Sus scrofa: one gene and its partners. The protein of the gene in region 1 purifies or fractionates together with the protein of each later gene. This does not show direct contact. Links are inferred from orthologs where the notes say so. Each region holds a gene or a part of one and is shown on either strand. Other genes may lie near its edges.

Region 1 (3,646 bases):
CCAAATACAATAAAATTACCAATGGTTTTTTTAAAAAGTTGGCAAACTATCAACTGAAAGCCACCTATATCAAGGACACTTCTAGGCCCAAACAGACTGAGTGGCAAATTATACTTGCCTGATGAGAGAGGGGAAAGCTGGAGTACAAGGTCATTATATCAGTCTTGAGGACAAGAGCCAAAATTGACACCAATCAATGCTGACCTTCTGCATCATTAAGGCCTCTACATTAAACAGAAACCAAAAATGATGTAGCCAATACCCTCACACTAGGATCTATGTCACAACAAAGAGATCACTGGGTCTGAATAACTTTGATGAAAACATGAAAGTTTTCACTAACAGCTGTGTAAAAGGAACCACTTCTTAACCTGTTCTGAAAAGCAGCACTATACAAGTGTCCAAAACACAATATTATAAAACTTTTCTGCCTCTCATTTCACTACCTAAAGAGTAGTAACTAACTGCCTTAAGAATACTTCTCTGATAGACTCACTGTCAATATCAAATCTCTCTTTCCTAACTTAGTTGCTGAATTCTGTCAGAACCCACAGATTTCTTCTCCTTGGTAATTCCTCCCACTTCATTTTATAAGCTGGGTCTTGGGGCCAGAGATCAAACAAATATACAACCATGGTTGGGAGCAAGAGGGCTAAGTCTATGAATGTAACCTTTCCAGCAGTGTACTTCTAACAAACAAGCTAGCTGAATACATCTACGTGAAACTGAGATGGAAAAACATCACACCCTGAGCGACTATAGGTTATGATCACATAGTCTAGGGGAGGCCACAGTGACAGTGCTTTACTGGTCTTGTTATAATTATATTGGCAAGTGCCAGTAATCAAATTCCTTAACTACTCCTCTCTTTGCAGCCTAAACCTTCTTCTGCCGAAAATAATGAATACAAAAAGGTAGAGGTAAGGATTAAAAAAAAAAAAAAAAATTAAGCATTTTATATAGTTATTTAACCAGCAGCAGCACCAAAAAATCCTCCACCAGAGGAGGAGGATGTTCAGTTTATGCCCAAGTATCTCAATTTAAGTAACTTTTTCTTAGATACAGAAAGTACTTACATTCATCATAAAATCCATAAATTCTATTGATGCTGGCACATTCGTGGTTTCCTCTGAGAAGAAAAAAATTCTCGGGATATTTGATTTTGTAAGCCAATAAAAGGCAGATAGTTTCCAATGACTGTTTTCCCCTGTCCACATAGTCCCCAAGAAACAGGTAATTGCTTTCTGGCGGGAAACCACCGTATTCAAAAAGTCGAAGCAAATCATAGTATTGCCCATGGATATCACCTAGAAGGAAGAATTTTTGTTATAGTATCTTCATACATATAGTTCAAACCACTAAACTAATTAATTTCCAATCTTCTATACTATTTAGTTCAATTGAGCTTAATTAAAATTTTAAGTGTATGTATATATACCGAATCTCACACAGAACTAATTAAGAATTTATTTTGTGGAAAGAATTATTAATGCCTAGGGAGACCTTCTTGCCAAGTAACATGGTTTTCCTTTCAGGTTGGCTGATCATTATCAGATCTCCAACGGTTCAGTCTCCCAGCATTGTAACAGCAGCACAGCTGCATTTCTTGAGAGCCCTGGTCCTGTGTAAACAAAGTACACACCCACTACACCTACCAATGCATTTGGCTTTCAACTTCTCCCTGGAGATAATGGCAAAGAGCATTGTACTTTAAAAAAATCTGCATACAAACTTTATTAATGTAGTCAAACATGCTAAAAGAATAACTATAGCACTTTTCAGATAGAGCTTAGTTTTTATACAGATTATCCACATCTTTCATGTAGAAACAGAACTACAAAAAGGCATCAAGGAAGGTCTATTTTTAGGCATAACCAGAGTTTCTTTAAGCTTAAATATAATTCCTATACACTCATATAGTTAGGGCCTCTTCTTAACTCTCCATTCTGTTTCATTTCTTTCCTTTCTCCTGAAATGTTTACATTCCTTGAGTGAAATAATTTTCAGAAAATCTGAAACCCATCTAAGATCAGAGGTATTTATTCTAAAGCTACAATTACTTAATTTTAGGTAGTTCCAGATTATTCATATATGCTAAATGATTCTGTTCGCTAATACAAGGTCATACATATATCACTGACTCAGTCGGTCAATCACGTAATCAAAGGTAACTGTTAGTGTGCCAAAACTTACCACATATTTTGAGTGGTGCTTCAAGTTCGAGTAGGATAGGCTGACTGAGAAAGATCTCTCGGGACTTTAAGCACAGTCCTCTGATTTCATTCTCTTGTAGCTGGACATTCTTACCAGGTTTGGACCCTCTCACTGTAGGGGAGAAATCTCAGTTTAGTCAAGTGAAGTAAAAATAAGATTTAACATAAAAATTAAAAATATCTGCAAAGATACATTTTAAAGACAGAGGCGGGAGTTCCAGTCATGGCACAGCGGAAACAAATCCGACTAGGAACCGTGAGGTTGTCGGTTTGATCCCTGGCCTTACTCAGTGGGTTGGGGATCCAGTGTTGCTGTGAGCTGTGGTGTAGGTTGCGGACTTGGCTCAGATCTGGTGTTGCTGTGGCTGTGGTGGAGGCTGGCAGATGCAGCTCCAATTGGACCCCTAGCCTGGAAACCTCCATATGCCGTGGGTGTGGCCCTAAAAAAGACCAAAAACAAGCAAACAAACAAAAAGAGGCAAAAAACAGTTTAACTAGCTTTCTGGCTGGGCTTTATTTATTTTCAGTATACTTAAAAAGAATATGATTTTAATGTCTAATAGGAACTTAAAATCTTCGGATTTCAAGAGATTATTTAGCTGCATTTTCTATACCAAGATTTCTTTACAGTATCATGATCAAGGGGTCATCTTCTCAGTGTATAAATTGTTAGAAAGGTCTTTTTATTGCCTACTAAAATCGGACTCCTTGTGGGCATGGCTTGAGGTCTCAGTTCTGTCTCTAAGCCACACAAATCGGCCATGTTCACCTATAGCCCCTGCCCACCAGGCCAGCTTTTTTTTTTTGTTTTGTTTTTTGAAAGTTCTCTGTTTGTTTTTTTTTTTGTCTTTTTGCCTTTTCTAGGGCCGCTCCTGTGGCATGTGGAGGTTCCCAGGCTAGGGGTTGAATCGGAGCTGTAGCCACTGGCCTACGCCAGAGCCACAGCAACATGGGAACCAAGCCGCGTCTGCAACCTACACCACACGCAGCTCATGGCAAGGCCGGATAGTTAACCCACTGAGCAAGGCCAGGGATCGAATCCACAACTTCATGGTTCCTAGTCGGATTCGTTAACCACTGCGCCACGCCGGGAACTCCGAGGCCAGCTTTTTTTTTGCCTTCCATCTTGTCTTCTCTTCTCCAGCCTCATAAATGAATTTGCATTCATACAGAAGATTTTAAGTGATATCAGGTTACTAGGTTAGTTCTAAGAATTCCTTGTTTTAACACCTAAGATAGGAAATGCTCAGAATCTCCCCTCCCCATCAGTGTTTTTCAGAGGGCCACAGGGATCTCAAGGGCCCCAGATTTATCTACGAAAAAATTTAAGTGTTGTTTCCATTTCATTAACACACACTGTACATTTGTGCGTTATTTTTCTGTGCAATTTCTGGGCCTGCACTTGTGAATACAATCATGCAAAGGATACTTTA
Region 2 (3,646 bases), on another chromosome or scaffold:
CTCATGGTTCCTAGTCGGATTCGTAAACCACTGTGCCACGACGGGAACTCCCAGCGCCCTTCTTTACTAGCTGGTTGGCCTTGGGCGAGTTGCGCAGTGTCCCCGTCCTCATCTGTAAAATGGGCCCATAGAGAGATGGCGTCCGCGCCTAGGGTCGTAACCTGCCCCCTTAGGCCGCTCTTCTCCTGGCGGGTGCTTTGCAGGCTGTGCTCTGCCACCCCCACCACGGGATGCCTGCAGGGCTGAGCTGGGTTTGGAAAAGGCCCTAAGGGTACAGTCTTGGCCAGTGTCCAGTGGTGGCTTCCCTTATAGGGTCCTGAGACCACGCTCATTTGCTCCGTCCACCCAGTGAGGCCGGCCAGCAAACGGTTGCACCATCTACCCCGGCCACGTGCAGTTCCTGCCTGCCTTTGCTGCAGGAATCAGCCCTCCTTACAGAGCAGGCGGTGCTGGGAGCGCCGGGTGCAGACAGGACCTGAGGCCAGAGGTGCCTGGGCCAGCCGCCTTCCTGGGCTCTGTGTGTGTGGATGTCGCCCCCTGCTGGCCTGTGCGGGGAGGGCAGCCTTCTGCCATAGGGCGCACACCTGTATGTGGCCTGACCCCCCAGAACCCAGTTTGGTTCCCCGACATGACACACCGGCCTGGGCACCAGAGATCAGGTGGCCTGGGCCAGAGTCAGGAAGACAGCAGCCCAGGTCTCTGTGCACACCCGGGACACAGGGACCTGAGGGGCGGAGTGGACCGGGCCTGCCCCCAGAGCCTTGCCCAAGCCAGCTCTCCCGGACCCCAGGGCTGCAGGCCTCTGTGTGGAGCCAGAGCAGGCTGAGCCTGCGAGGGCCCAGGAGCAGGGCCAGGGCACCCTGGCTGGTGAGAAGAGTGCAGAGGTTGGCCGCTGGCAGCAAAAGATGCCAGGCACCGAGGGTCCCTGTGCAGGGTGGCCCAGCTGGGCAGGCTCCCAGGGCAGTGGCCTCATTGGCCTGATCACTGGAGGGGCCTTCAGGGCCCACTGACTGAGAAGGAAACTGAGACTCAGGGCTGCAAAGGGGCCCAAGGATGCTCCCCCTGCTCATGTACCCCCTGGGCCGCTCCTGGTGTTTTCTCTCCGCTTCCAGCACCACCGGCTGGTTGCCCTCAGGCCACTCCTGGCATCTCGCGTCCTGCTGGCCCCGGGGCTCCATCTAGCTCCTCAGGCGTGAGCTCTTTCATGTGGCCTTGGTCCCTTCTTGACCTTGCTCAGGGGCCGGTTCCGCTGCAGCCCCAGCCGAAAGCCCTGCCTCCTGCCCTGTGGCCACCTGGGCCAGTGCCCCTTGGGGAGGAGCTGGGTGGACACTTGGCCTCTGACACAGGTGGCAGGGAGCCAGGAAGCTGGATCCCTTCCTCTCCCGGCCCCCGTCTCCTGGCCCCCAGGCTGATGTGGGAGCCGGGCACCTAGTTGCCAGTTAGACTGCAGGATGAGGCAGCAGTCCCCAGACAGGGAGGCTCAGGGCCGGAAGCCCCAGGAATGCCCGGGGTGGAGCCTAGGGGACGGGGAGGGGGCTTAGGAGTCAGGCCCAGGCCGTCTGTATCATCCTAGGTGAGCTGCAGAGGAGGTGACAGACCTTCCAAGCAGGTGAGAGACCTTCCACGTGTGCCAGGCTGTGCAGAGGAGCCTGCGGGATGGGGTGCTGCCCCTCGGCCCCCATGGTCTCTGGCCTGGGCCCCGGCCCCACGGACCCAAGGATCCCTCCCAGCTGCTGGTCGCACCTGTGGCTGCCACCTGGGAGCCAGCCAGGGTGAGCTAAGACATGGTTCTGCCCACAGGGCCCCGCCTGCCCTGTTCCCGAGCTGTCCTCGCCGCCCTCCGCCGGCTACAGCGCCGCAGGACAGAAGCCCGAGGCTGTGGTGCACGCGATGAAGGTGAGGGCCAGGCCCTGCCCGGTTCCCGCTCCCTCCGGGGCCCCCAGGTCCCTGGCACTTCAGGACCCTGTGACCTAGGACCCCGCTTGCCCTCTCTGCAGGCAGCTGGGGGACTTTGGTCCAGTGGCCGTGGCTGCCTGGAGTGTGGGGTGGGGGTTGGGAGGCGGGGTGGTGGCTGCGTCACCCCTGCAGCCAGGGAGCTGAGGCCTGGGGCAGGTGGGGAGGACAGGTGCTCCTGGAGTGGGGGTGGGGCAGGATGGCCGGGATGGAAGCTCGGGTCTCCCAGGCCCAGCTCTCCCTGCCCCCCTCCTGCTCAGGGCCTTGGGGTGCACCCTGGGGCCTGTCCACTGAGGTGCCCCCATCCCTACCCCCCTAGCAGGGACACAGGCACGTGGTTCCCCGCAGGCAGCCCGCTCGCTGTGCCTGGCAGGTGGCAACTGGACACCCCCCCCCCATGTGCATGTGCCAGCCTGTCCTGAGTCCCAAGTGGGGTCCCGGGTTTGGAGTGCAACAGCGGTCCCCACCCCGCCTGTCCACCTGCTCTGCCCCCAGTGCCAATGTGGGCCGCCGCTTCCCTTGCGTGGTGTCTACGGTGTCACTGGGCCGAGGCGACAGGACAACCGGGCCCTCAGGCCTCTCCAGCCCCCGATCCCAGGGCCCCGCGGCTAGGCGTCCACCACTGCCCCTTGTGGTGGGGGAAGCTGGGGCCTTGCCCGAGGCCTGCCTGTGACCTCTGCCCCTGACCCTGGGGCCGCCCCCTGCAGGTCCTGGAGGTACATGAGAACCTGGACCGGCAGCTCCAGGACAGCTGCGAGGAGGACCTGAGCGAGAAGGAGAAGGCCATTGTCCGCGAGATGTGCAACGTGAGGCGCCTCCTGGGGCCGGGGCCGGGGTGACCGGGCGAGTCCCAGTGTGGCCACAACCCCCCTGGGAGGTGACCCGGGGGGCTGGGAGCCCGGGCCTCGCTCCTCCCCTCCCCCACTTCCCCTCCCCCCTTTCCTCCCTGCTCCCTGGTCTTGTTTGCCCTGTGTATCCTGACCCTTGGTCCCTGTCCCCTGTGCTCTGCTGGCTCCTGGCACACAGGTGGTGCCCAGACTGCGGTGCAGGCGGAACCCTCAGCTCTGCGGGACCCTCCTGGCCGTGGCTGCCTTGGCCTTTGGCAGCTGGGCTGCCTCTGGGTCTCTGGGGAGGTGGCGCCTGGATCTGGGACCCACCTGGCCAGTGCGCCTTGCCTCGTGGGACCCTTGTGGGAGTCAGCAGGGGAGGTGGTTCACGGGGCTGCCCCCTGGGGCGGGGTATCCCCCCGCTGCTGCCTCCTGGGTCTGTAGGGCCCACTGGACAGCTTCGGGCCCAAGTCTGCACCCTCGAGGTGCCAGCTCAGTCGCCTTGGGGTGGGAGGCACGGTGCGGAGGGCGCACGTGCAAAGACCCGGTCTGAGGGTCTCCAGGTGTCATGTGGCCTCAGTGTCCCCTCCTGGCCCCTGGCTCTGGGGACACCCTGGGCGGGTGCAGGGTGGACCCTCCATTCCCAGCTTGCCCCTCCCCACAGGTGGTCTGGAGAAAACTGGGGGATGCCGCCAGCTCCAAGCCCTCCATCCGGCAGCACCTGTCCGGGAACCAGTTCAAAGGGCCTTTGTAGGGCCGTTGCTCCGTGGAGGTGGACTGGCCCTGCCTGGGGTCCCTGGGCGCCGAGCCACCGTCTCCTCTAGTCTGGTGAACTGTACATAGGACGCTGCCTGCCGTGGCCTGGC
Region 3 (3,746 bases), on another chromosome or scaffold:
CAGGGTTTTACTCTGGTGAGGCCAGAAGCAAGTGCACTTTAAACTCTTGGCCCCAAGGCCCTTCATTACCGCCCTTCATTACAGCCTGGCCTCTGCCCATCTCTCCAGCCTCATCACACGCTCTGTCACAACACCTGGCCTCATCTAAGGAGCCACATCCCCTTCTCCAACACCAAGCCCATGTCCAATTCCTTCTTCAGCTTTCTCACGACTTTCATTTCTGTATTTATGCTGTTTAACCCATCTTTAGGTGCATGCACAAGGGCAGAAACTGTACTATTTTTATAGCCCCCAGCGCTTTTCCTGGTGCCGTCACTCATAAGCCAGCAGCTAACAACCTGTCTCTGAGGTGAGTGGCTAAAATCCTGAGCCACAGTCCAGGTCTGAACTGGGATACTGTCTCCCCATCTCCATGGGCTGTGCACACACCTCTGGCCTCCTGCCTGGTCTCTATCAGGGGTAAGTCAAAGGCCTTAGAAGGAGAAGTGAACAGGCCTCCTGGGCTGCAGTGAGGAAGTCTTGGCTTACCAGAGAGGCTGAGATCCTTCTGCAGGGCTCTCAGGCCCTCCCGGTTCCGATTCCTTTTGGTGTCCAGGTCCACAATCTGAAAAGCACAGGGGCATGAGGGAACTCAGACACCTCTTACCCGGGCCTGTACTCCCAACAGACCAGAGCTGTTAAAACCGAACAGAAACAAAACCAGGGCATCCCTGCTAGGTTAATTCCAATGCCCTGCTGTGTGAAGGTATTCCTTCCCCCACTTAGCTGCCAGCTCCTTCAAGACAATGCTTTGTGCAGGTGTCTTCCCAGGAAAAATGTTTCAGGACCAAACAATTTGTTTTTTTATTATCCACTGGAGCACCAGTTCTTAAACTTTAGGGCATTTCAGAATCACCAGGGGAGTGAAAACCACTCCCTGGACAAGCTCCTCCAGCTGATTCTCACCTAGTACCACAAGAAACCCAGCAATATTACACCAGAACAGCAGAGTGGGGGCACTGAGATGGGGATAACAGCACAATAGCTACCAAGGAAGTGAGGAGGTGGTACAGTACACTGCCTGAAGGAGCTGAATACTCAGGTTTGATTCATGCTGCCCACTCTAAGCTGTGTTATTTCACTTCTCTGAAAAATGGAGATAGGAACAGTACACACCTCATCGGTTATGAATCCAGGAACTAAGTAGGTCAGCACAGTACTTGACCCACAGTAAGGACCCAATAAACTTTAAACTGCTATTTACCATCCAGCATACCTTGAGGCAGTGTTTGACAGGCTCTTCCCCAAGTCTTCCCATTCTCACTACCTGAGGGAGCAACCATTCAATCTTTCTAACTGGAGATGAAGAGTCATGAATCTTTCTTGATTTCTCCCACTCCCTCACCCCTATACCTAACGATCATGGAAGCCTAAGTCCATCTCCAAAATATATTTCTGACCCAACACCACCACCTTGGCTCAAAGCCATCCCTCACCCCACCCATGGCAATGGCCCCTCATATTCTCTTCTCTACAGAGTGCCTGGCCCCTCATATTCTCTTCTCTACAGAGCAGCCAAAGGGATCTTTCAAACCCTAAATCCATTACATCACTCTCCTTCTCCCCATGAACTCTTTTCAAAGCCTCTGCATCTTTATTAGTACCAAACCCAGACTCCCAGTGCAGGTTTGCATGGCCTTCCAAGGCCAGGGCCCCACACTCCTCCCACATCCCCATCCCTGCGTGATCCCAAGACCACTCAGGCCTCTTTTCTGTTTCTCTTCTCCACTCAGAGTGTGAACTGGGGCGGTGCAGCCCAGCTCAGGGAGGGAGCCCAGGAACCGCATTTTGAAAGAGGGGTTCAGATCAATCAAATGCCCAAAGGGGTGAGTAGATCGGGATCGGGAAGGTAGGGCAAGGGAGCAGAGAAAGGATGGAAGAGACGGAATGCCTGGCACAGAGAGGCCCCCGTGTAATACATGCAGAATGAAGCGCGGCGCTTCATTTAACCCACATAATCTCACAGCCGCCCAGCCTGTCGTCACGGCCATTGGCCTAAAAGCCTAGGTCACCTCCTGGAGAGCCTGAGCTGGAGCGATTCCGCACCTTGCGCTTCACTAGGCGCTCGCCACCAGGCCCCAACCTCCGAACCCGGGTCCCAGCCTCGCGGATCAGCCTCCTACCTGCCGTTTGTCCGCCAGAACCTCTTCGGCGAGCTCCTCCACCTCCACCAGGTACCGCAGCACCCGCTCCGCTTCGGGTGACAGCATAGTGCGCTCCAGCCCCGACTCTGCTCTGCCGCGACTCTAACAAGCTCCGCCACAGCTCGCTTCTTGCTTTGCCTGCGCACGCGCAGCTCTGACGGGGCTTCCGGCGCGCACGCGCAATTGAAAGAAGAACGGTGGCGCGCAGGCTCCAACGAAAGCGCGTTAGCGGAACGCGAGAGGCGGGGTCTAGCTTTGGAGGCAGGGTTAGAGCGCCCCCTGCAGGCCAAGGGAACATAGTCGGCTATGCTGCTGCTCTTTTTTTTTTTTTACTTCATTAAAAAATTTTTTTTAGATTATAGTTGACTTACAGTGTTGTGCCAGTTTCTGCTGTATACGCTATGATGCCTCCTAACCACTCCCTCCCTTCGTATAATTCTTGAGCATCTACTCTGTGCCAAGGAGTTATAGGTACTGAGGAGGCAACTGTGAGCAAAACAAAGGCCCTGCCCTCATGAAGCTTCATCCTAGTGGGAAACATGGACAATTAATGACAAAACAAATAATTATATAATATGGCAGGCAGTGATAAGGCTTCAGAGAAATCAAATAATTCTTCCTCTGCTTGAGGAATACGGAAGAGGCCCATGTGACATTGTGGTTTGGGGCGGGGGGTTTGGCGGAACTCACGGCATGCAGAAGTCACCCAGGCTTGGGCTCAAACCCACACCATAGCTGTGACACAAGACAAAGCAGTGACAACGCCAGATCCTTAACCCACTGTGCCATCAAGGAACTCTGACAGTGTGACATCTTCACTTTCCAATTTATAAAATGGAGTGAATAAAAATCCCCCTTATTGTCTTTCTTCAGGACTAGAAGGAGGCAGGAATCTTTTTACTTTTTAAAATTTAATTTAAATTTTTTGAGGGGGTCTTTTTAGGGCTGCAGCCACAGCATATAGAGGTTCCCAGGCTTGGGGTCAAATCCAGAGCTGTACCAGCTGGCCTACACCAGAGCCACAGCAACACCAGATCCGAGCCGATGTCTGCGACCTATACCACAGCCTCATGGCAATGCCAGATCCTTAACCCACTGAGTGAGGCCAGGGGTCGAACCTGCATCCTCATGAATACTAGTCAGATTCGTTTCTGCTAAGCCACAATGGGAACTTCAGGAATCTTTTTAAATTGAGTTTGATTCCCACATTCACTGAGCCCTTGTATTGGGCCCAGTGTCTGCAATAGCTGACCTACACCCAAGGAAGGGGTTAGAAAACCATGGGCCGTGAGCGATTAAGTGCCAGCTCAGAAAAGAAGTTGTGTAAGTGCTGGAAAGTGAACCCGTGTGGGCCGTGGGATCTGGGAGGACCTCCAAGAAGAGGGGGGCAGGTGGAAAGTGGCTACCCTTCAGAACCAGAGGGTTCCCTAGAAATCTTCATGCCCAAACCCCTCACTGCATGGCTGGAAAAATCAAGGATCGGAGAGCGGCGAGGACTTTAAAAGGTCAACAGCAGACCTGATACTATAATTCTGACCTCCTTTCTCCCTGAGTCCAGCTTTT

The links.
Region 2: the proteins of PPP1CC (region 1) and CCDC85C purify together in Homo sapiens (affinity purification with mass spectrometry; 5 studies listed by BioGRID and IntAct, counting the BioPlex papers as one, with this or other methods). This does not show direct contact. The link is inferred for Sus scrofa from reciprocal best matches to the Homo sapiens genes PPP1CC and CCDC85C.
Region 3: the proteins of PPP1CC (region 1) and PDRG1 purify together in Homo sapiens (affinity purification with mass spectrometry; 6 studies listed by BioGRID and IntAct, counting the BioPlex papers as one, with this or other methods). This does not show direct contact. The link is inferred for Sus scrofa from reciprocal best matches to the Homo sapiens genes PPP1CC and PDRG1.

What each region holds. Positions count from the first base shown.
Region 1 is NC_010456.5:32,077,662-32,081,307, forward strand, and holds part of PPP1CC (serine/threonine-protein phosphatase PP1-gamma catalytic subunit), read right to left. Parts: intron 2,326-3,646; coding exon 2,194-2,325; intron 1,308-2,193; coding exon 1,077-1,307; intron 1-1,076. UniProt on the Homo sapiens protein: Protein phosphatase that associates with over 200 regulatory proteins to form highly specific holoenzymes which dephosphorylate hundreds of biological targets.
Region 2 is NC_010449.5:120,517,264-120,520,909, reverse strand, and holds part of CCDC85C (coiled-coil domain-containing protein 85C), read left to right. Parts: intron 1-1,800; coding exon 1,801-1,896; intron 1,897-2,660; coding exon 2,661-2,759; intron 2,760-3,444; coding exon 3,445-3,534; 3' UTR 3,535-3,646. UniProt on the Homo sapiens protein: May play a role in cell-cell adhesion and epithelium development through its interaction with proteins of the beta-catenin family. May play an important role in cortical development, especially in the maintenance of radial glia.
Region 3 is NC_010459.5:35,613,728-35,617,473, forward strand, and holds the start of PDRG1 (p53 and DNA damage-regulated protein 1), read right to left. Parts: upstream 2,341-3,746; 5' UTR 2,250-2,340; coding exon 2,163-2,249; intron 605-2,162; coding exon 529-604; intron 1-528. UniProt on the Homo sapiens protein: May play a role in chaperone-mediated protein folding.